Nothobranchius furzeri: one gene and its partner. The protein of the gene in region 1 interacts with the protein of each later gene in a pairwise test. Links are inferred from orthologs where the notes say so. Each region holds a gene or a part of one and is shown on either strand. Other genes may lie near its edges.

Region 1 (12,435 bases):
AAGGTCTGGTGTAGACGTGAAGCAAACCGTGTCATTATGGCCTGACCTGTTCTTCTGTCACAATTGTGTCATCTCAGATTAGGGACTGTTGACCCTCCAAAGGTTCAGCATGTTTGTTTAACTTTCATTACCTTAAACTGATCAAGTGTTCTAAACATAACTACAAAAAAGTAAAGTATGCATAGAGTCAACATAAGTTCATACACACATGACTAACTGCCTACATCCATTTGAAAAATGTATTACTTTACACCACAGGGAAAAACAAGTTAATAGGAAAATGTGCACAACTGTTGTTTAGAGGGAGTTTGTTCATAGCAGAAAGCATCATGTGGCACTAAAAAGTCAGTTTATGAGCACTTGTGTTGTTTTGCCTTAAACCAGGAGATCAAGAAGACGTTCATAAAGTTACACTGTCTTGCTTTATAGAAACAAACTTCAAACTGTTTATTAAAGTGACAATGTGTAGTTTTTACCATTAATCTCTGGAAATATCCATCAAAATGTTGTAAATGAATTAAAAGATGCCCAGTTGTTGAAAATATTGGCAGTTTCATCAAAATCTGTTCTAAAATACATGGACGCGGGTCAAAGTCTCTGGGGGGCACCATATTGGATGCCATGTTTCCTCTACAGGAGCCTGTGAGGACAAAACACATTTACTGATTTATAACAAATGATTACTAAACTTTCACCAATAATAAAAGTCATTGTTTTACACATTTACGTCTTATCTCATTCCCAGTGATGAAAGGGAGTCTGATGTTCTTGTTATTTTGCTGGAGGCTGCACTCCCAGGGATTTTTGACCCTAATGGCCATCTGTTGATAAGGTCTTATTTGAACACAAAAATAATGCTTGCTTGCAAAGATTTAGGACAGTATTGCCCCCTATCACCAGGGTAAACACACACTGTCACTTTAAAGACTGAATCCAACATTTATCATGGCCTTTTAGAAAAGTTTTTAAAAAGCGTAACAAGTTCTTGCAGGAATCCTTTTCTGTAAGTTTTCCTCTGGTCTGCACAGAGACAGAAATTGGCGACATTTGTATGACTATGTGTCGTACTCTTTCCTTCTAACCCTTTACCAGTCCAAACTGGTCCCAACATGTTAGGGGTGGCGGTTCTCGAGGGCCATTGTCCAGCGTGTTTTAGTAATTTCCCTGCTCCAACACATTTGATTCAGCTTTTCGTTCATGAGCTCACCTTGCTCTGCAGAAACATTTTGTTATCCTGCTGATTAAAATCAGGTGTGTTGGAGCAGGAAAAAACAAAGACATGCTAGATAGCAGCCCCAGAGGACCACTATGGCTCACGCCTGCATTATATGAACCGCTCCCTGAATCAGTTTCAGCACTAATGGACAAGAAAATAAATCAGCATTTTTCCACCTTAAGCAGCCAATCGTTCTTCAATAGGAAATGAAAGTTTTACTTGTTTTCTACATTCGTCACACTGATGTTAAATAAAAAAACAACACTCTAACCAGAACCCTCGTGTGTCTTTTCTTAAAGGGACTTTACGGAGTTTTGAATTTTTATGCTCGCGATTGCCCCCTCAGGCCAAAAGCGTAACGGCAGCTTCAATAGTAGGCTCGTGCACGAGGCGCGCATGCTGTACGTGCACACTCCTTAACGAAAATAACAGCAGAGACAGTCCCTTGTGTGTGTGTGTGTGTGTGTGTGTGTGTGTGTGTGTGTGTGTGTGTGTGTGTGTGTGTGTGTGTGTGTGTGTGTGTGTGTGTGTGTGTGTGTGTGTGTGTGTGTGGCCAGGAGGACAGAGGACAGGAGAACGCGCAGCTAATTAATTAAATAATTTGGTTCTGTACCTTTCTCTTCAGCACAGCCAACAACGGTTTATGATGGGTCAGTCCTCCTGCATGCTCAGATCATGCCCTTCCCTTGCTTGAAAAATTGCTTCAAAATGAAAGTTGAACCCACATCTTTTTTGTCTGTGAATTCAATGCCGTTTGGTGAGTCTCAAATAAAAATTTGGGCATCTTACTGTGAAAAAATATACCATTAATGTAAAAAAGAAACTCTAAATTAACTATGTTCACACCCAGAATCAAACCCAGGTCATCTGCATGGGAGTCAGGCATCTTACAAGGTGAGCTACACTCTAGTAACATTCACAGTATCTGTAACATTTATATCCTTAATGACACCTGAAACAACGTTCAAAGAACGGTTCGGAGCGAAAATGGCTATTTTGTTGCAAATTTGCAGGAAATATCTAGAAGAAAGTTCTACAGAAAGTAGCTAAGGGTCCTCAAAAATGTAGCTAGCTTTGTCACTAGGTGTTAGGAACAGCGACATAGACTAAAGCTATAGCAAATGCTACGGACTATGCCTGAACGTGAACGTGCATGAAGCAGCCTGCTCGACCCGAACAGCTCTCTTTTTCTGTGATTTTACAGAAAAACAGGCAATCACAGTACAAATGCCAGGGCTCATTCTACAGGACCAGAGCATTGCAGGAGAATGTATGAAGAAGAAATTTATTATTTCTATACATGTGTTGGCTGTCAAACTTCCATAATGCCCCTGTAATGCTGTCTTCTGGAATTCATCTGGTCTTGGTGGATCTTATCTATAAAAACAACTAATTATTTTTCTGTCTTAAAAGAGCTGTAAATACAGTCGGGGTGCGTCTCTTTGGTTTGTTATCCAGATTATCACTGACATTTTCAATATTTACACATTTGTTCACTTAAAAAATAATCTTGTGATTTTATATAAATATGTATTGAAAGACACATATTTAAAACTTTGTGAGTAGGCTATACAATCACATCATCTAAGACTTCACTGTTTAAGAATTATTACTAAACTGAAGTCAGCAAAGTAAACACTAATGAATTAATGTTAAGCTCTATTTTCGTTGTCTGTTCAACCCTCTAGAGGTTCGTTCTCTTCACTGAACTCAGTTGCTGCACCAGAGAGCTCAAAAGTCAGACTGAACCAGTAAACATGATGGAGAGACTTAATTAAACAAAGACCCACTTGTCACTGTTCTACATCTGAAAGGTCATGGGTCAAACTGACCTGTGATTAAGTGGCAGGTTATGTAATGTTCATTATGATTTGGTTGGTAAATTAGTCTAAATAATGGGAAAACCAGAACGTCTTCACTTATACAAACCAATTAATTACCAAAACTCAATAAATCTGTCAATCATCTGTGACTGATCAACAGTATTAAATCCATCAGCTAAAGCAGGAACTAGCAGCAGATTTTCTGGTGCTAGTTCTGGGCATCACTGGGCATCTTTGTAGTGCTGTAGCTAGCTCTAGTTACAGCACTACAAACATACCAGAATATACTCACCACAGGGCAAAACTACATCCAAGGTAGGGGATTTTAATTAATCAAATTAAGTTTTGCTAGGTAATATAAATAAGTATATTAAGTTACAACATTTCAACAGCATAGGTTTATATTTTATTAATCAAACATGTCTGATATAAAACTATTAGTTCTTAGTTCAAAGACCAGTAAATACCCAACTGCGTCTAATAAACACTCAAACATTAATACAGATATTGATTTCAATTTTTTTTCTGTTTTTATGTACCAACGGTCCATATTTTTTTCAATCAGGAAAAACATTTATGTATTTGGATTTCACAATGAGTGTAAACTATTAAAAAAAAATAAAAAACAACAACAGAATAGAAATGCAATTTTTTTCACTGGTTGTTCTTTGTCTAAATAAACTTTAATTAAAATATTTATAATCTGTCATTTGATTTGATACCACATACCTACCTACTATCTATAAGGGATTTACATGTTATATTTAGCTCAACTGGATGAAAACACAACTCAATCCTGTCAAGGGGAAGGATTCTGCTCTCTAGCGGACATAAACTGTTACTACAGGCAATGTTTATAAAGCTAAACAAGACACAACCAACTAGCTTTTCCTGTACGTTCCTTCAAAATAAAACGCACATAAAATACTTTGGGGTTTAAATGAGGGTGAACAACATAGTTGTTCTAAATAACGAGAATGTCAGAACGCATTCCCTTATAAAAACTACTTAACTACTGAAACTTAGTAAATCCATTTTAATTATTTGTGTTCAAAAAGGTTAATTCGACCAGCGCAGCAAGAGCTATCACCAGCTAGCTAAAGCGCTACAAACGTCTCAAATCATACGCTCTCTAGTGGCAAGAAGGTGAAGCGCAGGAATTTTAAACAATACAGTAAATTAAGTTAAAACTTTTAGCTTAAAAGTAAATAAATATAAGAAGTTACAAACTTTTAACAGCATGGGTTTATATTTTTCTAATTAAACATGTCAGATATAAAACTGCAGAAAAGTCATGTCACATTATGGCCAATTCTTACAGAAAATATCCATCCATCCATCAATTTTCGGCCGATTTACCGGGGTCGGTTCCGAGGTCGTGGGGACAGACGCGACCCCGAAAATATACAGAAAATATATTTTGCTAATATTACATTCAGTATACTGTCTGTATTTATGTTGGAGCTCTCTTACATAAATAGGTTATCTATTGACATGTTACAAAAGCCTTATTGTGAGTAAGAGTGACTTTGAAATGCGTTTCATTAACATTTATTTTTGTTGTTTTTTATTTTACTTATGTTTAAAATGTCCATATTTACGAAGTTAAATCTTTTTTTAAACCTTAGTGGGGTTGTACATTGTAATAACACGCTATAACCTACGAGTGTTCTACTTTTATAACCTAAACAGAACCGGACAAGATTTCATTAAAGAAAGTCTAAAATACCAGCGTAAAACACGACACCTGAAGGCAGCACAGCAGCCTCCGTAGTCACGACAGTTGCGGCCATTTGGCAGCTGCATTGTTACCCATCGCATTTTTCATCAACATCCTTTTATCTGGGGGAAGACATTTCTTGTATTCGCTTGATGAATTTGACTCTGTTAATATTTGATACTTTGATTCTAACTTCAAACTTAACTGCTTGCTTGTTTTTACTGCTGTGTAAAAATGAGTTCTAACACGCACGTCATTCAGGTGACAAATGTTTCTCCGAGCACAACGTCCGAACAAATGAGGACTCTCTTTGGATTCCTCGGAATCATAGAAGAGCTCAAACTGTTTCCACCTGAGTGAGTATCCTTGTGCTTTGCTCAGGTAAAGCTTTCCCAGCCCACAGACGGGGCTTCCGGAGGCCTAAAGCGACAAGCAGGCCTCGCTGTCTGCTAATGCTAATATTTACCCGCGCCTCCAGTCGCTCCTCGATCATAACACGCTTCGGGTAAATAAGCTTAATGCTAGAAAAACATTAGGGTTCCCAAACGGTTATTTAAATATCTCTTAACTGAAGTTTGAAACAAAACTTAACGTCTTGGAGAAAATTTGGCATAATATATTCTTGAATTTTATTTGGGTTATTTTTTAATAATAAAGAAAATACGAACGAGATATTGCAGTTTAGACATTTAATTTGATTCAAAAGGATTGTTTCCCACGTTGAGTCCACTACCTGCATGCTTACTGTGTTCCTGCTTTAGCACACGTGGTACAAATTGAGTTAATTAGCAAAAAACGTGCAGCAGAGGTAAATCATTCAATTAAATCGGGTGTTCTGAAGCAGGGGCGCAGCAAAGGTAGCGTTCACCCTAGGTTGGTGCCTGCAGGGACGAAATTTTGATTTCAGAAGTGGGGGGGACACAGCAGGCTTGTGCGGATTTGGGGTGGGGGGTGTTATGTAAAGACCCCTTGACACGTCACGTGCCCATCTCAATAATTTTTCCATCCTTATTGAAGTGCAGTTTTGGCTGTTGACAATGGATAGGCCATTGTATTTATTGTTTTGGGTCTTTTTTTATTGTTTTTGGTGCAACATTTTCTAACAGGGAGTGAGATTCCTTTTTTATTTAATTTTTGTTTGTTATTTTTATTCATTTAGAAGTTCTGGTTCTGGACATTTCAATGTTAAATGAAGGTTTCTTTGTTGCATTTTAAAGGGTGTACTTGCATTATTATGATATATTAACATTATATTAGTGGTTATTTTGGTCTAGATAATGTTGACAATATCGTTTATCATCAACAATTTGTTGGACAAAATATCATCCAGCAAAATGTGTTACTTTCCCAGGCCTAGTCAAAAGTATAAAAATTATTTATACATAAACGGTCCCTCCTGAGTAGGGCTGCAACAAACGATTATTTGGATAATCGATTAATCGGATGGGGTCTCGACACGATTAATCGGATTACATAGGGACATTTTTTAAAACTGCTAGGGAAACGTTATTTTTCTCCTTCCTTCCTTCACTTAAACACATTATTAGAAAACAGTTCAATAGCAGAAAACCAACATGCCATCACCTAAATTGTCTTATAAGGTGTATAGACAGAGACCTTAAGCTACACCTATCTGTGACCTAAAATGCTTGGTCCAAGTTAAACAGCTTAAAGAGCAAGTCAACCCCTACCAGAGTCTAACTCCACTCCCGCTTCATGTTTGAAAAATGCAACACATGCTGTTGCCTGGCAGACCGAGAGGGCGGAGCCGCTAACAAATACACACACACTCAGGCTCACGACAGCATTGTGACATCATAATGTACCAGTTTACATCATAGCATACTTCTTAGCCAATAGCGGTGGCAGATTTAAATTAAAATACAGTGCAGAGTTTTTACCTGACAACGGCACAACACTGCCAGTTTTAGGCAGAATATTTAAATTTTAACTAAGATGCACTGAAGTGCCAAATTATTGACGACACGTGTCTGCAGCACGATTAGACACTCGTTTATTTAGTTTATCAGCAAAAAAAAGTTTATTTGGGGGTGACTTGCTCTTTAAGGGCAATTCTCATCTGTTTTGTTTGATCTCATCTGTAGACATTTATTATAACTGGGGATGTCAAACAACTAATTTTTAAATGAAATTAAACATAGGCTGTGAATTAATCACTATTTCCAAAAATGACTGAAAAATACCAAATAAAACAAAAGTAAATGAATGCCATCCTCCTTGTGATGATGCCCTGGGCAACTGCCTTAAAGTCACATCAAGAAATGCTGCTGATCATTCCAATGATCCCAAATAGACTCACATTAGGACACATGAAAGCAACTGAACCCAAAAATATATTAACCAGTATATAACTACACGCACACAACACGCCTGCAGCAACAGTTAGGACTCCTCCCTCCCTTTTAAAAGCATTTTCGCTTGTGAGGACACTGTGGTTGTAAAACCACATGTTAGTAGTCTGGCCCCGGTGTGATCAACCAGTTTCTGCGGGAATGTGACGGCGGAACCGGTTCGCAGCGGCGCGAGTCCTCCCCCCCCCCCCCGCCTATCTAATAGCGTCGCGCTTACAATTTTATAGACTTTTTTTACGAGCTTAGGGCATGTCTAGCCTGTAATAATCCGGGGCTTGGGTGAATCACTTTTGAAAAGTTTTTTACTTACCCGGACACCGAGCTCTCTCCTTCCTCGCTGATGATTCTGACATGCTTGCGTTTAAGACGCTGCATCATCACCGTAGTATCCCCGTGCCATGCTAAGTCTGACCTACAAACGTTGCATGTCTTCGCCTGATTTAACTGAAAATGCTCCCAAACTTTAGAAGTTTTTGCTTTTTTGGGGTCTCGCTGCTTCTGCCATGTTCCTCTTACAAACACCTGCCGGCTCTCCACCGGTCTGCGCGCAACGGCGGGCAGGAGGGGAGGGGGCTTTTGGAAGAGTTGCGCAACACAATGAATCGATGACGCAATTCGTTGCCAACGCTTTTAGTAATCGATTTTCATCGAATTTATCGATTCGTTGTTGCAGCCCTACTCCTGAGATCTGGCCGTTTGTTCATTTGCTGTGTTAGAGGACATGCTGAACTAATGTTTTACACATGATCATCACCCTAACATTTGAGAGTATAAAAACATATTAAATATGTTTTTCCCCTTAAAAGTGTTTAAACAGTTGTTGCATTTCAACACACAAAAAAAAAAATGGAAAAAATAAGATAAATCTAATGAAAAGTGTACATCTTTGACATTAAGCTTAAAAAAAATCTGTTGACGATGATACTGTTCATTTTTCAGAGCTTTTTAATGTGAAAATATGCATTGCAATAGATAAGTTTACAATAAAGTTAAATGATAAAAGTTTTGAAGTTACACTTCTACTACTACTACTACTACTACTAGTAATAATAATTATGATGATAATAGTAATAATAAAAATAATAATAATTATAATAATACGAACAAATTGTGTCTGAGGAGTCAGTTATGTGGAGGAGATGAGTTTGTAAAAGTTAGTTTTGAGTATGTTTGTGAAGGAGGAGGTGAGTCTGAGCTTAATGCAGGTCTGTCACATGTTCCAACTTACGTTTTGACTTTGAAAGAAGTCTCTTATATCCACTTTTCGTTTTCTTGACATGCTGCCTCCTGGCTGTGCCTAACTACCAAAGACTCACAAATTAACACGTATTCAAATGTTATGTAATGGAAGCTGAGCTGAGCTCTGATATTACACAGCGTCTAGTTAACGATGTGACTCAGTACCGGTGTTCCCTAGCGGCTCCAAACTAGCAAAACAACGTGAGCACGTTCTGACTGTTTCCAACTTGAGTGACAGCAGCAACAGCCAATAATACGTTAGCAAGTATCAGCAGAGCCAATAGATTAGCTTTTGGGCGGGTCTAATAGTAAACCGGTTTCCGTTTCGGTCCTAGTGCTCAACCAAATCCATTTAATGGAGCGTAACATTGTTTTTGGATGGAAAAAAGTGCAGGGGACCAAAACTGCCTTTTGAAAAAGTGGGGGGGGACATGTCCCACCCGTCCCCCCCCCAAAATTACGTCCCAGGGTGCCTGAATCCTAAACCAGATAAATCACATCAATCAAGCAGAACATTAGTAGTTGTGAATAATTTGCTGATGCACTTGTGTTGATAATTTTGTTTATCCTTTCTGTTTCATTAATTATGTCTGGTTATTCCACTGGTGGGAAGTTTTCTCCATTTTAGCTAGGAATGAAAATGTTTCCAATAATAAAACCTGAATCCATTACTTCAGAAATCATGAGCACTTTGGAAAACACACAATTTTCATAAATATTTTCTCTTAATTTTGTTCGAACTCGACAGTCGGGTTTAATAAAAGCAACATTACCATCACGTGATCTTAAACTCTTAGGACGGTGATAAGAAAAAGAATCCCTGATGAGTTATCTGAGCAGCATGAAGAAGGCATGTTGGTTTTCCCTGTTTGTCTTCTTTGCACAACATATCTGTGTTTTCTTCCAGTGACTCTCCCTTGCCTGTGACTTCACGTGTCTGTTTTGTAAAGTTCCATGAGCCCGAGTCAGTGGGAGTGTCCCAGCACTTGACCAACACCGTCTTCGTGGACAGAGCTTTGATCGTGGTTCCTTTTGCTGAAGGTGGGTGTCTGTTTTTAGTCCTTCTGCCATCCACATGGCAATCACATTTGTAGGTGCAATGGATAGAATTGTAAGCATTAGCTGATTCCTTTTTTTATTTTTGTTTTATTTTATTTTTTTGCTAAGCTTATGTTGTGCTTGGCATCTCTAGGTATGTAAAAGGGAAATGTACATTTGTGTCTGTGTTTCACAATCTAGCTGTAAACTTCTCTCTCTGTTATTTGTGTTGTGGTTTTCGTAGTGGACAAGTCATTTGCAGAGAGATCCTTCCTTGCTGGCTGAAAGTGGTCCTCTGCTGCAAACAGGAGATTAGAAAAAATAACAGCCCCATACTCGCAAGCTCCCTTCTCTTTTTTTTGTTCTGCAGTAAAATAGTTTACTCTCTCTTCAAGACATCTATATATATATATATATATATATATATATATATATATATATATATGTGTGTATATGTATATTTTTTTTTTTTACGAAAAAGTGCTGCACAGCTCAATTCTTTGGGCAGGCAAGAGGGTGCTGGGCATTTCTTCACATGCGTCTAAATAATTGGTTATTATTTTAGTCCAAAAAGAGCAGGTGGACTGGTTAAAGATTTACAATAAATATAAACTGAAATGTTAATGTTTTTGTTTGTTCTAATGTTTGCAACAGTTTCGGCATCCAGCATTCAAACAGCATTTCTGCAAGAAATGCAATTTATCTAGTTTTTCTTTGGTAAACTAGCAGATGACTCTTCTTGTTTCAGCCAAGCTGCTTTTTCAGGTTTATTATTACTGAAAACAAGACATTTTGATCATATTCATAAATATTTTATATTATTTTTGCAGATAAGGTTATTTTAGAATGAAAAATAAAGTGAAATGTCTAAAATGGAGGCTTAATTTAAAGTTCTTTTTTGAAAACCAGTTTTTGCAATGTATCAGTTGGTTGAATTAGGCTCAAACATTTTCCAGTTGATGCCTGCGCTAACAGCACTCAGCAGCAAGTTTAAACTTACTGTAGAGTCACCATGCCCTTCTAAAATGCTTGTAATAAATAAATGCATTTATGCTTAGAACATTAGTAATGCTGCTCCTAAAACACTCGTCTCCTAAAAATAAAAGCACTACAGTTAAAAAGTTGCAGGGGTTTTCAGGCGCTGGTGGGTGAATACCTACTTTTGGGTGCAGTTTAGAACCATGATGGGAGCGGCACCCCCACCCTCTTAAAGGTGCCGCCGTGTGGGAGCGTGCACAGGGAGGCAGGTCCACACATCAGCTGGTGAAAACACGAGAGTCGTTTAAGAAACATTCTTAATGAAAAAGCATCAAGACCCTGGATGCTTGGAGTTAAATCACATTTTGAACTGAAATGATTGTCGCACCCCTAAAGTCGTAAACTATGTGCATGCTAGACTTTAAAAACTCAGAGGTGTGTATCGTGATCTACTGTTCTGATGAGGTGACGGTGGGACTGTTGGTAAGATTTTGTGCGGTTATTGATCAAGATGAAAACACACTGTTTGGCATTGAAATGCTGACTTTCCAGATTTACCATGAACACACAAGTCTTCAGGCTGTGTGCCTGATCCAGTGACTCACGTTTAACGGTGGTGTTTCTTTTGTTGTTGTGTTTTACAGTTCTTTTTCCTGGTTCAGCCAGCCCTATTTACCAGGCCCCGCTGAAATGCCACCAACAGTTTTGTCTTCTGCAGCCTTATCCTGTTTCTCAAGTGTCTTTTGTGTTGAGTGTGTGTGTGTGTGTGAGAGTGTGTGTGTCTCTTTCTCTCTCTTATTAAAATGTGAAACGTGTAAGATAAAAAAATAGCCTGTTTTCAGATTGCACAGCTATGGGTGATAATCTCATAGGATTTTCCTATGTGGTTCTCTTCAGCTCTGATCATATTTTTAATCATTTGATTGTTTAGAACAGGTAATTTACGCTGTTTAGTGTTTTGTGTAACATGCTTTTGGTTTAAGCCTAGTAGGACTTTTAATTACCAAACAATTTGGTTGCCGAGTGTAATTTAACCACGGGATCAACAAAAGGCTGGAAAAGGTAAACGTGAGCCTTTAGTGTTTCTGTAGTGGTTTTGGTAAGTGATGTTGAAATGTATCCCTGTCTTCACACCCAAATCATGAACTTTGTTTTCTGTATCTCAATGTTTTTGTGTGCTTTATAGCGAAGCAGCCGGCGCGAGTCGCTTGTTCATAATGAAATTTGACAGCACATCCCACTGGACAACTGGCTGTGCTTGCTAACGTTTGGTTCATGACTTAAAAAACAAGTACAGGTGATCAAATCTTGGCAGTGTTGACCACAATGTGTATTGTGACTTTTGATCTCATAGCTGCTAATCCCACAAATTACATTTTCACACACAAAGAAAAAAAAGAAGTCAGCCATCAAGATTTACAGAGTGGAGTTTTATTATCTTTTATTTTACACTGCAGCGTAGTTAGACCCAGGTGACTTGCCTGCAAGTCTTGTCTGAGTGTTTTATTTTTTTCTGTTTCTCTGAGCGTGTACTGAAATCTTCTGGTATTTCTCCAGGAGTTATTCCTGATGAGTCTAAAGCCATGTCGCTGATGGCTCCAGCCAACGCTGTGGCGGGGATGATGCCCGGTGGAGGTCTGCTCCCGACGCCCAACCCTCTGGCATCGGTAGTCTTTCACACTTGAACTGCGGGGGGAATGAAATGAATCTCTGTAGTGTTGAGAGGGTAAATGTTGAACGTTTCAGATGGCAGCAACGCCGTTCGGAGGTCTTGGGGCTCCCAGCATGGAACAAATAGCTGCAATGGGACTTGCAGGGCCCAACATGAACCCACAGGTGAGGATCCAGTGGAGTCGGCGTCACTGCATAAAACAAAAAGATCAAGTATGAACATTTTCTTTTTCTCTCAGGCTCTTTCTGCAGACTTCCTGAAACTCATGCAGTCTATTGACCCAAAGTGAGAAAATACCCAAAACTAGAATTGTCTGTGCTCTGTCTTGAAATATTTACGTGTCTTAAGTCTTGGTGGCACTTGTTCTTGCAGATTGA
Region 2 (12,731 bases), on another chromosome or scaffold:
AGAAATCAATCGATGAGTTAATCAAACCTTATTTCTGGAGCACCTTTCCTACGTCGTTTTGAAGTCGCTCAGGATGAAAGTATCTGCCAAATGCAAACATCAGTGTGTAACACAAAGTGCTTTACAGAAAGACAAACCTAAAAGAAATGCAACAAACTGATGAAATAACTGGAAGTTTTTAATGATCAAACTGTAGAGCAGGGGTAGGCAGTCCTGGTCCTCGAGTGCTGCTGTCCAGCATGTTTTAGTTTTTTCCAGTTCCAACACCTGATTTTAATCAGCAGGCGTTTAACAGGCTTCTGCAGAGCTTGTTGACCTGCTGAACAGGTGATTGAAGCACTGAATCATGCTACAACCTGCTGGATAGTGGCACTTGAAGGAAGGGACTGAGGAGAGCAGTTTTATTGATATAGATTAACGACAGGTCTGACCTGTGTGTTTTTAATACTTGTGATACAGTTCACCACCAGAATCCCACATGGCAACCCCCCAGATGAAACAAGAGCCTACGGCTCTGATAGGAACAGTGGAGTGGTCCCTCAATAATAACAAGAGATTGTCTTGATGCTAAAGGAAATGTGTTACTAGTGAGAATGTTTCTGTAAAGTGAACCGTATTTCATGTACATGATGTAAATATAGAACACTTTATAATGGATGTAAAATATGGAGTAAATAGAATAAACAATGGATTTAACTTGGGACTTCAGTCATAGACTGAACTTTATCTCTCTCTCTCTCCCTCTCACACACACACACAAACACACACACACGGTTTGAACCTGACATGTGGAGAACTAGACCGAGATTGCCAATTATCTCATATTTATTACAAATAAGACTTCATTGTTCATATAATGGTTAAAAAAAGGGGCTGTAGTTGATATAAAGCCTTCAAGGGTTCTACAAGCCCCCTAAGACACTTTACAACACAAGCAGTCATACACACATTCACACACTGGTGGTGATGAACTACACAGTAGCCACAGCAGCCCTGGGGCCCACCGAGATGAGGCTGCTGAACGAATGCCTCCGGTCCCTCCAACCACCACCAGCATCACATTGATACAAAAACTAAACTGGTCTAGACAAAAATGATGGAACTGTTAATATTTAGTTTCTGAACCTCGAGACATCCAAGTGATTTCTGTAACTCTTGACGTCTCGCTTGAGCACAGGTATTTTGATCCTCATGAGAAAGCCTCTCCAGCCGTTTCAGATTTGAAAACTTCCTTCTGCAGGTGTTTTCGCTCCTTCCACAGATGTTCAGCAGGTTCTAGTTCAGGGTTAATACACATTAGAATAGTTTAATGTTTGGTTCTGATCCACTTTTGGGTGTTTTTAGCTGTAGGTTTAGCCTCATCTTGTTGGAAGAGTCATGACCTGTGACTTTATTGGACCTTAAACAGATTTAAGACATCCTGGTCCAGATGCAGCATAGCAGGTCCAGAACATAGTCTCCACATTAGGTCCAGTGTTCTTACAGCTTAGGTGATTTAACAAAAGCTCCAGTTTTGTCTCGTCGGTTCAAAAGGTGTTCTCCCAGGAGCTCGAGCATTTAGGTGAACTCCAGCCTTGGCTCATTTTCTACCACCTGATCAACTGGGGGAACAGTTCCTCTTGGGTACATGAGGTCTAGGTGGGCTTTGGTCTCAGGAACCTTCTACTTAATGTTATTAGCAGCTGTGGTTAAAGGAACAAGAAGCTGCTCAGGGGTGGCTTTGCTGTCGAAGTGAAACAGGTCATTTTTAAAGCCTCTATCAACCTTCATTTTGTTCCACCCCTAATAAGTCATGCAGACCTCTTCAGTAAACAAATGTAATCATGTACATTACATCGAAGTCTCGTTAACATTTAAATGTTTAATATTTGTGCATATTAAGGCATCAGTTCTACACGTGATTATAGAACTAAAGATTAAATTATTCAGTTTAATATCTTCAACAAGACTTGGTCTGAGTTTTGATGATGTTTTCAGATGGTCCTTCAGAACATACAGCAATGAACCCCTGCCCCACCAGGAGGACTTGGTTGTCTCCAAAGGAATGCTGAGCTGGGCCGAGTGGTTCTAATGTTGTGGCTGATCATCTTTATAGGGTCATTGCAGTTAAAACAGAAATAACTCCAGATAGGTGTCTTCTGTCTGAGCTCATTGTGCTCCGTGTGTCCAGTATTGCTGGATCCAACCCAGACCCTTGGTGGTGGACTCTGCAGTAGACAGATGAGACAATAAGCCGACATGTTTTAAATTAGTGGATCAACTATTAGAGGTGAGGGAAGACTGACCAAAGGGTTTGTATTCACAGCCGATGTAACCCCGGTAGCCGAGGTGTTCCAGCGTACGAAACAGGTAGCTGTAGTTCAGCTCTCCGTCAGAGTCGGGTTCGTTCCGGCCAGGAACCTGGGCGACCTGAACATGACCTGAGAACCAGAACCATTCAGAAGAAGCCTTGTCTTATTTGTGCATGCTTAGCTCAGCTGGACAAATGTTGTCCTACATGAACATACAAGCCAGTGGACTTTGTGTTTAACACCAATAAATGAGGTATGACTCATTGTGGAACTCCAGTCAGAACCAGCGTAACTTAGTTGGAGCCATCTAAATGTTCTGCCCAATAACCACCTGGTTCTTTCTCCAGCCGGAGCAGCTAACACACTGGTTTACAGGGCAGATTTTGAAACCATGTTTGAATCTATGAAGGCAGATCAGAGGCCTGAGGATGCCAGAAACCCTAAACATTTGTATGCGAGGAACACTGAGAACAGATATAAGCTATTAGGTGCATATTTAAAAGAAAATGCATATAAAATGTAAAATTTGTCTACAATGAAACCAATGTGTTTTTTTATAATTGACAAAGCAGGATTTTTCTGCCACCTGGATGACAAGAACTACTTTTCCACCAACCTTCATCTGGGCTATGTTATAGACCAGAGCATAAGATATATTGGTCAAAACCAAGATCTAAAATTCAAAGCCAGTTTTAGATCCTCTGCCACCCATCAGCAGGAATACTAAAGAGGAGATGACTCGGCTTTCGTCGATGCCTCTGAAGATAAGACCAGACATGAGATCTCATCTGTCATTTTTGTTTATGCATTTAGCAGACGCTTTTGTCCAAAGCGACTTACAAGTGATAATCGGCATGTTGCCCTTGAGGCTAACAACAACAATAACAACAACAACTTGACATCAGTCATGGAGAGGAGGGAACAAGGAATGGACAGTAGAGAGGGGAGGTACGGGTGCAGAGAGGGTGCTAGGTAAGAAGATGCTCTCTGAAGAGCAGGGTCTTCAGGAGTTTCTTGAAAATTGAAAAGGAAGCCCCTGTTCTGGTAGTGCTTGGAAGGTCATTCCACATTTGTGGAACGATGCATGAGAAGAGTCTGGATCGTCCTGAGCGTGGTGTAGGCACTGCTAGCCGACGATCCTGTGATGACTGCAGCAGCTGGGACGAGACGTAAGCCTTTGCAAAAGGATTCAGGTAGATGGGAGCCGTACCGTCTCGGACTTTGTATGCTAGTGTTAAAAATTTGAATTTGATGCGTGCTGCTAGCGGTAGCCAGTGGAGCTCAATGAACAGAGGGGTGACGTGTGCTCTTTTTGGCTGATTAAAGACCAGACGCGCCGCTGCTTTCTGGACCATTTGAAGAGGTCTCACAGTACAGCCTGGAAGACCAGTTAGAAGGGCATTGCAGTAATCGAGGCAGGAGATGACAGTAGATTGCACCAGGAGCTGGGCGGCATGTTGTGTTAGGTATGGTCTGATCTTTCCTATGTTATACAGTGCAAAGCGGCATGAACGAGCAACAGACATGATCTTTAAAGGGGTGACAAGTAGTTCAGTTTTAGAGAGGTTGAGTTGGAGATGGTGGGATTTCATCCATTTTTATATGTCAGAGAGACTAGTTGGAAACAGGTGTTCATGCAGCAGCTGATTGCAATGGTTGAGACCTAGAGCACCTGATGAGGGGAGAAACAGCTCAATCACAGCCCCTGATTGCACTTATTGTTTTCAGCTGGCCCAAACTGGAGCTACAAGACAACAGGATTACACACAGATGAGTTTCCTTCTCTTTCCAAATGGAAGACAGTGCAAAGCAAAAGTTTAAGAAGACAAAAACAAGCACTAACAGACACTCAAGGCCCTTCGGTGCAGATTCAAGTCTGTTTGAAAGTGCTTGCAGTTGCTTTTTAAGCTTTGCTTCAGGTGAGAGGACGGCCCACCTAGATCACCTGATCAGTGTTTTCAGGGAGGGGAGAAACGGCTCGTTCACAGCCCCTCAAATGGACTCACCTATCAGGGGGAAATACTTGTGCATGTTCTGTGTGAGGTTTCCATCCATTATTTGCCAGTGAAAGACATCCTGAAAGAGGTGGGATGTTTAACAAACGTTTTCTCTCAAACTGAAACACATTTCCAACATACGCACCATTTGTAGCTTGATGTTGGGTTTTCCAACACTCTCCAGTATTGCTGCCGCTGCAGAAGAACCAGCAGAACACAGAAATGAAGGCCGTCAAATATCTCATTTAAAACATTTACAACAAGACTCGTCGCTTTCCCAGAATCTATGTACAGTCTGATTTAGGCCCATGAGTGTAAATGTGGAAATGGTAAACAGACTTCATACCAACATCCAACACTGGTGTTTATTTCAGTTGATTGTATTTTATCTCTTTTTTTTTATTATTTTAGTTCTATTTCTAAACCAGAAGTTTTTGGTTGTAGCTAAAACAAAATGGTTGAAGCTCAGTGTGTTAGAGAATGGTGGAAATCTGACCTTTAGAAAGAAAGTCCATAATTAATCTAAACTTAAAGGGGCATTATGGAAGTTTGACAGCCAAAACATGTATAGAAATAATAAATGTCTGCTTCATACATTCTCCTGCAATGCCCTGGTCCTGTAGAATGAGCCCTGGCATTTTTACTGTGATTGCCTGTTTTTCTGTAAAATCACAGAAAAAGAGAGCTGCTCGGGTCGAGCAGGCTGCTTCATGCGTGTTCACGCTCAGGCATAGCCCTCCGAACCGCTCGTTGAACGTCGTTTCAGCTGTGATCAAGGATATAAATGTTACAGATACAGAAGGCGCCACTGGCGATTTAGCTCCCCTAGTAAAATTTCGAGCTTTCATGCTGAAGCCCTGGGTTCGATTCTGGATGTGAACATGGTTGTTTCAGTGTTTCGTTTTTACATTAATGGTATATTTTTTTACAGTAAGATGCCCAAATTTTTATTTGAGACTCGCCGAAAGGCATTGAATTCACAGATATAAAAGATGTGAGTTCAACTTTCATTTTGGAACAATTTTTCAAGCAAGGGAAGGGAATGATCTGAGCATGCAGGAGGACTGACCCATCATAAACCTTTGTCGGCTGTGCTGAAGAGAAAGGTACAGAACCAAATTATTTAATTAATTAGCTGCACGTTCTCCTGTCCTCTGTCCTCCGGGCCACACACACACACACACACACACACGCACGCACGCACGCGCGCGCACGCACACACACACACACACACACACACACACACACACACACACACGACTGTCAGCTCTCAGAGCTCTGTGAAGCTGACCCCCGTCAGCTTCACAGAGCTTCGTCTCAGCTGTTATTTTCGTTAAAGAGTGTGCACGTACAGCATGCGCGCCTCGTGCACGAGCCTCCTATCGAAGCTGCCGTTATGCTTTTGGCCAGAGGGGGCAATCGCGAGCATAAAAATTCAAAACTCCGTAAAGTCCCTTTAAGAATCCTGTTCTTGGTTTTTAAAAGAACAGTTTGAAAAATGAAAACCTTGGTTTCCTTTTAAAAGGGTACAAAAATCATATGTGTGTGTGTGTGTGTGTGTGTTACCCTGGTGAGGAGAGTCCAGAAAGTACCTAGGGTCTGTGATCCTGGTGTTGATTGGTTCTATCAGTCCTGTGATTCCCTCCTGTAACGACCATCATTTGTGATTATTACTGATATCCGTTTATCTCCACTGAGAAGTTTACTGATCTATGCTGTGATATTTCACTCATGCTCCCAAAGCCCAGGCACAGTTTCTACAACTTTATTGTACCACCACTGATCTGCAGATGGACGAAGCCCCCGCTGATGAAGAAAAGTATGTGGATGAAGTATTCTACTGATATTCTTATGTTTGAATTTAGCTAAAATGTAAACATTGTGCCCAGCGACCCTGCGTGGATAAGCAGGGATCGATGATGGATGGATGGATGTAAACATTGTGATAGTAGGACTTTGAATGTTGAACTACAATTACTCAAGTAATTTACACTATATTGTATTTACAATTATATTTTTAAAATTTGTATATAATACATTTTACACTAATTTAACTTTCTCAAGCAGAAGACACGTCTTGGCTGAACTGAACAGCCTAAAGTTGAGATCATTACTGGACTTCCCTGTGTCAGTTCCTGGTGATCAATTATGTCCATGTCTTCTACAAAGTGAACCAGTCTCCTGAGAGCTGATGACATGTTGAACAGAACAGAAGGTATACTGGTACCTGCCTTAGAGAGGATGTCAGCAGCATACTTTAGGTTCTGCACAAAGACAGCCTCCATCTCCTTAGCAACCAGGTGTCTGTGGGAGTCCACAGGAACCCGACCTGCCATCAGGTGGATCCTGACCGGTGAGAGAGAAAAGCCTGTTCCTCCTGCAGGTGTGTGTGTGTGTGTTTACTTGCTTGGGCTGATAACTTACATCTTGCAGTTCAAACCTTTTGCATACTTTAAAGTCTGATCCAGACCCTGTCTAAAGTCCCCCTCCCTCCCTGGAACTGCTGCGAGACCAAGATCACCTGCTTTAACGTCTCCTGTAACACACACACAGATAGTTAACCACATAACTACAGTGCTATGCTGCTAGTGTGGAGCTCCAGTACCAGGCGGGGTGTTGATCAGGACCACCTCCACTCCTGCAGCCTCTCTGGCTCTCTGGAGCTCCGTCAGGTCCGCGTCGTAGAGCCAGGCGGCCTCCACAGCCTGAAACCCGGCCGCAGCGGCCGCCGACATCCTCTGACTGAAGTCTGGAAGCTCAGAGAACAGCCAGGAGATATTCGCACTAAACTTCAGTGGAGCCATGTTGGGCTTGAAGTTCAGAGACCAACGAACCTGCGTTCACGCAGATCTGGATGCGCTCGATTTATAAACCGGCTTGCCAATCGGCGCGCCGAGTGGGAGGAGTTTGTACTGTTTCACGCGGCTGCCCGCCTCATGCTCCGCCCACAAAGTGGCCTACCTGTTGCTGAACTTATACCTCCAACATACAAGTTTGGTTTATTTATGTTTCTTGCTGTTAGTAAACTCCGCCCTAAACGGATCATAACCCGTTCAACTGAAAAGGAACAGACCCACAATGCAGTACTCTTCGTCTGTGGGCCGTCATCTCACACTCACAGACCTACTGCACCACCTACTGGACTGTAGGTTGTAGCAGTAGACCCTGATCCTGGCTCAGGTATCCTGGCCTCACCTGGAGCTCGTGTCCTAGACCTATAGTCCATGTGGTCGGTGAAGGATGTAAGCTGCCCTTGTATCTCAGTTTGGAAACAGATCAGAAAGGAATTCACCTTTAAGGTAGTCTGGTTGAGAACAGAATCAAAACGAGAACAATGTGAGGATGGGCAAATGAACCAGATCAAATGCTTATCAGGGTGAGTCGTGATGACAAGAAAAGTAAAATTTTGAAGGAATGTGAGTGTTTGATAGTCCAGCTGCTGTTCTGAGGTACTGGTTCTGATGGACCATAACCTAAAGTAGACCATTTCATAATATGGTTTTTTTTGTGTCTTTTTCTTTCTTATGAAGCAATGTAGACATGCAAATGTTCCCATGAAATGAGTGAATTCGATTTAATTTGTTACAGAATAACCCAACTGTGCATTAGACAGGCTACAGTGATTCTGTGGTAAGTTTGCTAAGAAAGATCCTGTGCCGTAATCTCTCTTGTCCTGTGGGTCAGAAATATTTTCTGTGCCATCTGGCCACAGAAGCACCTTGAGAAATGCTTGACTATGTCTAATATTGGCTGTTTTTCCAGCATCCATCCCCTCAGGAGCTGTATCCTAGAGAAGACCATCTGGTGGCTTGTTGTAGGATTTGTTTAACCGGCAGGAGTTCTGGAGCCTCTCAAGCGTTCCCTCTGTATTACACAAATACTCCATAGGCTTTGGGATGGAATGGGATGTTTTTTTCCTTAAAAAAGGCCAAAGTATTTGTCTACAGAGAAAAACAGACACAAATAATCCGGCTTCACATTCTGGCTTGTCACAGCTCACTGAATAAGAACAGATGGACCTTTGAATGATTGAACGTTTATATAAAACCATTAACTGCAGTTTACACCAGGCTTTGCAAAAGCCAGCCATGTTGGATTTTAAAGGTGGGGCCGATGAGTATGGCCAAATCTCAATACTTGCCCTGCAGTCTTCTGTGCTTACTGCACACTTGTGGACGTGTGCAGTAAGGCTACACGTGCGAGGTACACAAGTGTGCAAATAATTGCCGAATTGGGACAGGGAGCATTGCGTCATCGACCACAACACATGCTGGGATTCTGGTCGCTGTGATACTTTAAAAACACTTAACAACTTTCAAACAAACAACCAAATATTTGAAATAAGTTTACATTCATTGCTGCTTTGTCTAAAACATACAGAGCATCAGTGAATTATCCTAAAATGAACTAGTTTCATTTAAAAATAAATATTTTCTGAAAAGCCACTTTGCTTTTCCCCTGCAGCAATGGATTGTGGGTAATACCCTTCACCCAAGCACACATCGATACAGTGTGGATCAAGAGTGCAAAAGGGGCGTGATCAACTTCCGCACTTGAGAATCAGGACACCCTATGCACTCGCATTCCTGGCCGAGATGGCGCAATTGAAGGGAGCAAGTGTAGAATTGGGATTGGTCCAAGTTTTGTTTGAACTTTCCTCGGCTGAATTAATCCCAGCAGCATCTGCTGGAGACAAGTCTCTTCACAGCTTCCAGAGCAAAACCTGGTCTCCATAAAAAATGTTCATGACCGTTTCTCATTGTTATCATGAATCACACAACAGACACTGTGAATGACTCAACTCTGTTCTACCTGAGCTGTGGAGATGATGATGACGAAACAATTCTGTAAAAATTAATTAAAAGGAATAGCATCCAAACGTGAGACCACCCACAACAAGAAACCTGAAAGACCCACAGTGCAGGTCTCCAGCTGATCACAGGGCCACAAAGACAAATGACACAACCAGCCATCAACACGTTTTCACTAATGACAATTTTACAGCAGGACTATCCAATGTTGGCCCTCCATGAACACCATCCTGTATATTCCAGAGATATTTCTGCTCAACACAGAAATATATCTAGATATTTTAATGAGCAGGTGATTAACAGGCTTCTGCTAAACTTGAACTGATGAACAGGTGATTCAGCCATTGATTCAGTTGCGTTGGAGCAGAGAAACAACCAACACTCTGGACGGTGGCCCTGGAGGACCGGAAATGGACTCCACTGACTTAATTAGAGTCACTATTAAAATGAAACCCACACATGTATTGGGAAAATGTACAAAATCCACGCAGAAAAGCTGAAGCTGGGATTTGAACCTACAACCTTCATGTGGTGAGGCTACCAACTTCAACATCATGCAGCCAGATGTGTTAATTGACCATTTAATTAAAGAGGGTGGGAGGAACTTAACAAGAATGCAGGGTGAGACAATGCTAAGGTTACATCATGTGTTTTCTGAGGCAAAAGACCAGCAGAAGCTTCTTTTTCCTGGGATGAAAATACCACCAGTTCCCAGAAGGGGATAGTTTTCACACTAATTACACGTCATAAACAAAACCAGAAACTTTATGCTGCAGCAGGAGTCTGCATAAACATGGACATGTTTTCGACTAAATGGTGTCTGACACGGGGAACTGTGCTGCCTTTAACTCTTACCAAGCGATTCTAACTAATAGGTTTAACATTTTAGCAGTTATTGCTAGTTCTGCTTTGAACTGCCTCTCTTCCGGTCTTGTGATGGGACATTTTCTGGTAATGAGAACAGATTTTCCTCTAAAATTGCCTCTCTAATCTGTGGTGTTGCAAAGTCTTGGGTCCATAGTTTTCTTTCTACAGCTCTACACTCCCTATCACACATGTTTTAGAAGATGTAGTCCAGTGTTTATCCCAGATCAATGACTGAATCACCAGCAACTATCTTGCCTTGTTTCCACTGAAACAGCTCTTCTTAGGGTCTCCAATGATGTTCTGACTCACAGTGATGCAGGGGACTGTTTTGTTCTGGTCCTGCTGGACCTGACTGCAGCCTTTGACACTGTTGACCATCACCTGCTACTGGAGAGGCTGAGAGACTGGGTAGGCCTATCAGGAACTGCTCTGGAGTGGTTCTCCTCTTATCTCTCTGAGTGCTCCTTTTCTGTGGCAGTCTCCAAGTTTAGGTCCTCCACCACCTCCCTTACCCATGGTGTCCCACAAGGTTCTATGCTGGTGCCTCTGCTCTTCCTCCTCTATCTGCTCCCTCTTCAGCACATTCTGAGGTCCTTTAAAGGAATCTCCTACCATCTTTATACAGATGACATCCAACTGTACATCTCCTTTAAGTCCCATGAGATGTCTAAGCTGCAGCTGTTACACACCTGCTTAGACTCTATCAAAACCTGGATGGGAACTTTCTTCAGCTGAATGAAGATAAGACTAAGATCCTCATCTGTGCCCCAGACAAGCTGGTTCCCAAAGTCAGAGACTCTCTTGGTCAGCTTACTTCTCACATCAAACCCTCTGTCAGGAATCTTGGTGTGACCTTTGACCCAGCTCTCACCCTGGATTCTCATGTCAGTTCTCTTGTTTGCTCTTCCTTCTTCCATCTCAGGAACATTGCTGAGTCCCATTCTGTCCCGCTCTGAACTTGAGACAGTTCTCCACACCTTCATCTCCTCACGCTTAGACTACTGTAACTCTCTTTTCACGTGTCTGAGCAGAACCTCCCTGGACCGTCTACAGGTGGTTCAGAATGCCTGTGCTCAGCTTCTGACCAAGTCCTCCAAACACACCCACATCACCACGCTTCTCCTCCAGCTTCACTGGCTGCCAGTCAACTTCAGGGTTCATTTAAAAAATTTGGGTCTGGTCTATAGGGCCTTACACGGACAAGCACCGTCTTACATTGGTGATCTTCTTAGTCCCTACACCCCCAGCAGGTCCCTGAGGTCCAGTGATCAAAGCCTACTGGTTGTGCAGCACCAGGCTAAAGGTCAAAGGTGACAGATCATTTGCTGCTGTGGCCCCCAGACTCTGGAACTCTCTCCCCCTGAGCCTGAGATCAGTGGACTCAGTGGTCTCCTTTAAAAAGCAGCTGAAAACTCACCTGTTCAGGCTGGCTTTGATGTGACATTCATCACCACCCTCTCCTTATTCTGTTCTTATTTCGCCTTTCCCAGGATCCATTGATTTCCCTCTTTCCTTTTCATTTGCTCTCTCCCTTTCCTTACATTTTTTTCCTTTTTAAACATATTTTTAATCATTTTAAAAATCTTTTTATACTTACATTTTTGTTTTGTTTTTGTAGAGCGCCTTGTGAGTTTTATCTTGAGAGGCGCTATATAAACGATTGTTTTCTTTCTTTTTCTTTAAACACCAGGAGGACCAAGATCATGATTGTTGCACCATCATTTAGGATCTCTCTTCCTTTTGCTGAAAACCCTAGTCTTGTGTTGGAAATCTGGGTGTTATATTTGATTCCTCACTTAGAATGATATTTCTCTCACTCCTTCCTCACTTGAGGGACATTTCTAAACTACATCACATGGTTTCATCTGCTGAATCAGAGAACATTATTCATGCTTTTGTGTCATTGCAACGCCCTGTTCACTGGACTACATAAATCATCTCTCCCATGCCTCTGAGCTGTCCTAAATGCTGCAGCCAGACCACTGACCCGATCCAGGAACTGTTTCCACATCTCTCTTGTCCTACACTCCCTAGTCCCTACAATGACTTCCTGTTGAGGTTAGAGTTCATCTTAAAATTATCTTTCTTACCTACAGATCTCTCACTGACTTCTGTCTTTGATTACAAGTTCAAGTAGTTCCTTGTATCAGATTGAGAACCAGAGAGACATAGCTTTTGAATCACCTCACTACAATGATGTCATAGGTGTTAGGATTTTGCCCTGTAATTGGTGGGTTGCAGGTTCAATCTTAGGCTCTGTCAGTCATGTCAGTCACTGTGTCCTTGGGCAAGGCACTTCACACATATTGGCTGCTGGTGATGGTCAGAGGCACCATGCAGTAGCATCTGTGTTAAGGCGACCTCTCCTCTGTCACTGTGTCCCATGGGCAACTGTGGCTACATCATCAGTGTGTGAATGGATGAATGACTGCATGGTAAAGTGCTTTAGAGTTCTCTGTCTGACTTTACCAGTGTGGGTCATTTACCATTTATTCCATAATTGCAACCACCCATGAGCTTCAGCATCACCTAACCTGGGCGTGGGTTAGGGCAGTGGTTCCCAATCTGGGGTCCGTGAACCCCAAAGGGGTTCCCACTAATTGCAGAGGGTTCCCACAATTTTATCTGTGCTAAAATTGTGAAGGTGATTATATTTGTAAAAACCAAATTTTAAAAGTCCAATAACACTCAATAGTACAATCAAAACACTGTAGAGTTATACCATTGTATGTCTGTAATAAGTTTGTAATTAATAACCTTTAACA

What was found.
Region 2: the proteins of serine/arginine-rich splicing factor 11 (region 1) and hyi interact in binary tests that used the Homo sapiens proteins (3 or more experiments, as listed by UniProt). The two-hybrid records come from large-scale screens. The link is inferred for Nothobranchius furzeri from reciprocal best matches to the Homo sapiens genes SRSF11 and HYI.

The regions. Positions count from the first base shown.
Region 1 is NC_091748.1:59,486,766-59,499,200, forward strand, and holds the start of serine/arginine-rich splicing factor 11, read left to right. Parts: upstream 1-4,804; 5' UTR 4,805-4,993; coding exon 4,994-5,115; intron 5,116-9,277; coding exon 9,278-9,411; intron 9,412-11,471; exon of another isoform or gene 11,472-11,683; intron 11,684-11,943; coding exon 11,944-12,053; intron 12,054-12,132; coding exon 12,133-12,222; intron 12,223-12,296; coding exon 12,297-12,343; intron 12,344-12,430; coding exon 12,431-12,435. UniProt on the Homo sapiens protein: May function in pre-mRNA splicing.
Region 2 is NC_091756.1:55,262,277-55,275,007, forward strand, and holds hyi (putative hydroxypyruvate isomerase), read right to left. Parts: upstream 7,159-12,731; 5' UTR 7,093-7,158; coding exon 6,894-7,092; intron 6,825-6,893; coding exon 6,713-6,824; intron 6,635-6,712; coding exon 6,520-6,634; intron 5,934-6,519; coding exon 5,855-5,933; intron 4,484-5,854; coding exon 4,434-4,483; intron 4,368-4,433; coding exon 4,298-4,367; intron 2,421-4,297; coding exon 2,286-2,420; intron 2,208-2,285; coding exon 2,149-2,207; 3' UTR 1,842-2,148; downstream 1-1,841. UniProt on the Homo sapiens protein: Catalyzes the reversible isomerization between hydroxypyruvate and 2-hydroxy-3-oxopropanoate (also termed tartronate semialdehyde).